2 linked regions of the Bombyx mori genome follow. The protein of the gene in region 1 purifies or fractionates together with the protein of each later gene. This does not show direct contact. Links are inferred from orthologs where the notes say so. Each region holds a gene or a part of one and is shown on either strand. Other genes may lie near its edges.

What was found.
Region 2: the proteins of putative tRNA pseudouridine synthase Pus10 (region 1) and protein Abitram purify together in Homo sapiens (affinity purification with mass spectrometry; 3 studies listed by BioGRID and IntAct, counting the BioPlex papers as one, with this or other methods). This does not show direct contact. The link is inferred for Bombyx mori from reciprocal best matches to the Homo sapiens genes PUS10 and ABITRAM.

What each region holds. Positions count from the first base shown.
Region 1 is NC_085129.1:17,029,332-17,032,454, reverse strand, and holds the end of putative tRNA pseudouridine synthase Pus10, read left to right. Parts: intron 1-379; coding exon 380-486; intron 487-974; coding exon 975-1,074; intron 1,075-1,618; coding exon 1,619-1,808; intron 1,809-2,199; coding exon 2,200-2,378; 3' UTR 2,379-2,391; downstream 2,392-3,123. UniProt on the Homo sapiens protein: Protein with different functions depending on its subcellular location: involved in miRNA processing in the nucleus and acts as a tRNA pseudouridylate synthase in the cytoplasm.
Region 2 is NC_085113.1:6,927,578-6,930,212, forward strand, and holds protein Abitram, read left to right. Parts: upstream 1-1,493; 5' UTR 1,494-1,528; coding exon 1,529-2,074; 3' UTR 2,075-2,089; downstream 2,090-2,635. Other genes in the region: COX assembly mitochondrial protein 2 homolog, read left to right, coding at 1,081-1,161, 1,326-1,493. UniProt on the Homo sapiens protein: Actin-binding protein that regulates actin polymerization, filopodia dynamics and increases the branching of proximal dendrites of developing neurons.

The sequences.
Region 1 (3,123 bases):
CTAGCAACAGTTAGTGTGGTCATGGGTAAAGTTAAAGAATTTGGTAGGATTGAGTGTAATCTCTCTCTCTCTCTCTCTCTCTCTCTCTCTCTCTCTCCCCCTCTCTCCCCTCTCTCCCCTCTCTCCCCCTCTCTCCCCCCTCTCCCCCTCTCTCCCCCCTCTCCCCTCTCTCTCCCCTCTCTCTCTCCCCCTCTCCCCTCTCTCCCCCTCTCTCCCCCTCTCTCTCCCCCTCTCTCCCCCTCTCTCTTACAATTAGTAGAATAGAACGCACGCACGCACGCACGCACGCACACAGTGAAAAGTTATAAAAACATGTATACTAAATTTGCGACTGGAACAGGATGGCTCCAAAATGGTCACCGATTGTGTCATGTTCCAGATCACAGACCCGAGAAGAGACCTCACCGGTGACGAGCTGAAGAGGGTCTGCAAGGAGATTTCGAAAGGTGGCCAAGTGATCGTTCAGAAACTAATGCATGTCTCCAGGTACCTTTTTTTCCTACCTAACCTTGAGAGGCTATGTCAGCGTAACCGGGCGAGTAGGTGAGCTCGCGGGGCTCAAACTTGACGTTGCTAATACGAACCCTAGTAAGGGCCGGATCGGAAACGCGACCCACTGAGAAGATCCGGCGAGAAACTCAGTGGGCTGTGTCAGCAACAGTCTGGTCTGTAGGAGGGGGGGGGGCGTCAGCTTCGGCACGTGATCACTAGGGTAGTGATTGCAAAGGTGGTGAGATCTGCAGTAGACGGACGAGCCCACGGATTAAGTCGTTACCATAGACATGAGTTCGAATTCTTAATTGGCAGACGGCTGCGTCCACCGGCCCTAAAGAACGGATCGTATAACTGAACAAACAGTTTACCTATCGAATGACGTAACAGCGGGTACATATCGCTGTCTCTCTCGCTCGTCCCGTAACGCTGTGACGTCACAACTCGCACGACTCGACTTGTGTACGTTTTTTCTGTCCCAGGAACGAGTTGTCGGAACTTAAAAAGGGGGAAGAGACGAAATGCAAGACTTACGAAGCTCTGTGCATAAAGCTCGGAAATGAGAACGCTGAACCGAATATTGTGAGTTTTTTTTGTTTATTCCGTTGAATTAGCTCAAGGCTTTGACCGCTTAATGCTAGTAAGGAGTCTTAGCTTAGCTGGGCGATCAGTACAACGGTTCTGATAGTAAGGTTTTTGTTATATACAGTACTGAGGAGTGGGGCGTTGTCGGAGCCCGTACGGGTAGGAGGTTTTTTTTTTTTACTGCTTATGTGGGTGGACGAGCTCACAGCCCACCTGTTGTTAAGTGGTTACTGCAGCCCATAGACATCTGCGACGTAAATGCGCCACCCACCTTGAGATAAAGTTCTAAGGCCTCAATATAGTTACAAGGGCTACCCCCAAATTATAATTTTGCAGCTTTGATTTTTATTACACGATGTTATTCCTTCACCGTGGAAGTCTATCGTAGACATTTGTCAAGTACGTATTTGATTAGAAAAAATTGGTACCAGCCTGCGGGATTCGAACACCGGTGCATCGCTTCAATACGAATGCACCGGACGTCTTATCCTTCAGGCCGCGACGACTTAAATAATTAATAGCGATCTCTGCTATTTTCCAGCTGAATGGAAAAACGCCTGTCGCCGTCACCGAGGAGGACATCCAGAGGATAAACGAGTACAGGAACACCGAGGCAGGGGACGAGGCCAGGATCGTGGTGAAACAGAGAACCCCGATCCGAGTGCTGCACAGGCGCCCGCTGCTCACCAGGACCCGGAGGATATATGACGTAGTGGCCAGGAGGGTGCCTGGTGAGTTACTCCCGACCTTGGACCAATTTTATTCGCTTTATATTGTTTGATCAAGCCGTAGCTTGGAACAGTGGCTCTGGAGTTAAATTTGGAAGTGATATCTTCTTTAGCGCTTAGCGTAATGAAAAAATGACACTAAAAAGAGACAGACATATATAAGATTTGTCTGCGAGACGCGAAGTGGAATCGTTTTGAACGTTTACCCTTATTATAATTTTTTTCGCTTCAGACGTTTATTTGAAAACGTGCACGCCGCCATCTTCAGACATGAAGTCGTAGTCTCAAATGTGTTGTATGACTGTCTCGACTTTAAAGCTGGAACGCGTTCCCGTCAAAAAGTCCGGTTCTAAGATCTCAGTATAGTTCTACCCTATTTTTTTTTTGTTTTCAGACTACCCGCAATTGTTCACCCTCACAATCCGCACGGAAGCGGGCACGTACGTGAAGGAGTGGTGCCACGGGGAGTTCGGTCGCACCACGCCGAGCCTCCGCGACGCCGCGGGCTTCCGGGCCGACATACTGGCGCTCGACGTCACCGCGGTGCTGCTCGACTGGCCGCGACCCCAATAAATGATTCGATGTATATTGCGAAGTTTTATTTGTTGAAATTATTTCGTTAGCCTCGTCTGTATTTACCTTTTTTGTAGTAAAATTTTAAAACGTATCGAATTTCTTCATTATATCCACTCATCTTGACAGTACGAAAAATAAATAAAAATCACACATTTTCCTAATTTGAATTTGGATTTGAAGAATATAAATTCTTTAAAATTTAAACTTATTGATACTAAAACCAGCCAGATACAAATAGTATAGCCAAAGAGATTTTATTACAAATTGGAATGATTGGATTTTATTACAGTTGGACACTGAAGCTCACGGACGCCAACAATGCCACGGAAACACCGGAAACAAGTTCATTCCAATGAATGACTCAGTGACGCGGTAGTCATCGCTGCTGACTATGGGGCCGAGTGTTGGGGGTTCGATTGATGATCTTGTGATGATTTATTTGCTTTTTACCCGTACGGTGTTGAATATTTATACGTGTATTTATTTGAAATTAAGCATTTAAATTCTTCTTTATCTCCACCTTATCCCACTAGGTGGGGTCGGCATTCGGATTACAGTAGTGTTAACTATGTCTGTGTTTGCAGAGCATTCCAAATGTTTCGATATTGATTTTTGCTATTTGACGATTGGCGATTTTGCCACTTTGATAAAATAATAAGATACAGAGAAAACAAAATCGTGAAGTGGGATAGGCACTCCCAATTCTGTTAAATGTCAAAAAACTTAAAGTAATAATTATCTC
Region 2 (2,635 bases), on another chromosome or scaffold:
ACGACTAGCTCTTAATATTAATGGGGAAGCTCTTGCAGTGAGCTTAGATATTGTGATGGCTTTCACGAAGGTCTGGCATGTGGAACATCTGTCGAAGCTACCGGCTTGCGTGATTTCTGTCGTTGTTCACGTTTTCTGCTTTAATACCATTCCCGTTAAAGCTTTTGTATCGGTAACGTAGTTAAGTGGAGTGGTAGCTTTACCCTAGTTATCATCTGAAGTGTTGAAAGTCCTCAACAGAGTGGTATTTCACACTTAGAAAAATTATCACAGTGGCTTCTAAGCTGTGTAAAAAGCTTTTAAGCTGTGTAAAGCATAGGTTCGGCTTCCTGTGCTTTCATTTCTGGATCTGTGTTTTCAAGTACCAGCTGTTTCCACTTGACTCCGTAGAGAAATCAATCATTGGAATTATTGATTATATTCACATGGACCATGTAGAACCTTTGGATCAAAAGAGGGAGCTTAGCCATCGTTATAGAAAATTTGATCAAATGAAGTAGGTATGTTATTTTTGCAGTCTGATGATAGAATCAAACAAACAATAGCAATTTTAAACCTTAAGCTGGCAAATGTCAAGATTTTTAGCGGGAACGCGAGAAGTGAAGTAGCGTGAAATGCTTCATTTTGTTAAAGTCTTTGTAATTAACCATCACTTTACTGTGACTTTATTTCATCCCATTTCACCTTATTTCTTTTTATTTAACTTCATCTCGACTGATTAATGTATCAAATTAATCAATTTTCTTTTATTTCGCTCTATATATCATTTTTTATGAAAGAGAATAAAATATACACATTAAGTAGCAATAAGGGATTAGGCAGTATGGTGTAATATCTACGACTTTCTACTTGGAAAAATGGAGCAACTACTACTGTCACTGTTTGACACCAAAGTATGACATTTGCCTTATATTTGTCAATAGAAGATAATTTACAGAAATAGAAGTCTGTGAATTTCTTAGACGAATTTTGATTAGGGAATTATATAACAGAAAGTTACAATTGCATAATTTCTTCAAGAATTAAATTTGTATTAAATAATATTGTTTATTATAAAGTATAATAAAACTTATTTAAGTTATGCACACGGATTTGTCACCCCATTTACACACCGATGAGTGTAATATTTTTATCAAAAAATTAGTAGATTGCCACTTAAATGTAAGTTTACTAATTGTATATTAAAAACGATTTAGTCCACAACTTACTGTAATGTAACGTGGAAACTATGCTTCATACTTTTGTTTTTAGGTTATAATTGAACCTTTCATTGTATTCAACAAAGATAGTACTATCATAAAATAAACATAAAAGTTTCGTTTCAGCATCCATTTCGTAAATTTATAGGTTATTGCAATGATTATGATCGCGACATGAGGAAATGTTTGAAAGCTGAAAGACTTCAGAGGCAAAAAGCTAATCTAGATGAATCTAGACAACGCCACGCCAATATTCGAGCACGAATTTTAGCCCAGAGCGCAGCAGCCAACTGATATATATTTAAATTAGAAAACATAGTTTTGTGATTATGAAAACAATGGATTTCAACATTCTAGATTCAATACCAGACTTAGACAATCTGAAGACCTTCACAGAGAGATACTTTTCAAAACGATACTTAATTAATGTAGATGGCATAAAAAATAATGATATGATGATAATGTTTCATTCAAACCGAATTGCATTGTTATCTCTAGCACCAAGTCATTCCTTCTTCAGTAAAGACGAAAATTACAAAATTAACTTCAACATTGGTAAAATTGATCGTTTGAACAATTCTGTCAAAGGAAAAAGTAAAAAGGGCGGACAACTATTATCTCCAAAATCTGTGATTTGCAAGATAGAATTCAGCGATGAAAGCGTATTTGAAGTGCCCTGTTGCATGAAAGGTACTTTGGTTGAAGTTAATGAAGAACTTGTACAGAATCCATTGTTGCTGAAAAACATGCCAGATTCTGATGGATTTATTGCCATTATGCTAGCAAGTATAGCAATTTCAGAAGCGACAAAAAGTGAGTTGTTAACTCATGAAGAGTACATAAAATGTATTGATTGTTCTGTTAATAAACAATAGTATTAACTTTTTAAAGTTTGGTTTTATTTATTTGATATTGTATTAAAACCAAATTAACTACAATGTAAACTCTATGAAATCTTATTTCAACAGGATTATTCCTAAAAGTGATTAGGTTCATTGGATCTTTGTTAACATAATTAAAAGTACTTTTGTGACTGTTCATGTCATATATGATCACGATTGTAAAGTATTGAATACAGTCAGATATCCATACAAAAAGCATCTCATTCACAATTGAAACTGTTTTATTATCTGTTAGAAAAATTATGTGATACCAGACAAAAGAATTGGCGCTTTTCCTTGATCATGAGGACAAAGCAGCCCATAACAACTAGTGATAATGAAAGTATAAAAACATGATTAAACTGTAAAAGGAGTTTTAATTACTGCTGCAACTCTTGAAACCAAAGGTGGTGCTATGTTAATAATTCATTAATTTCACATTTAATCGTGCACTTTATTGCAACTGTAAGTGGATGACAGCCTACGTGATGCTAAGTAGGCTACGAATAAATAGACTTATTATTTATTCGTAGTAAGTAGGTCATGGACATTAAC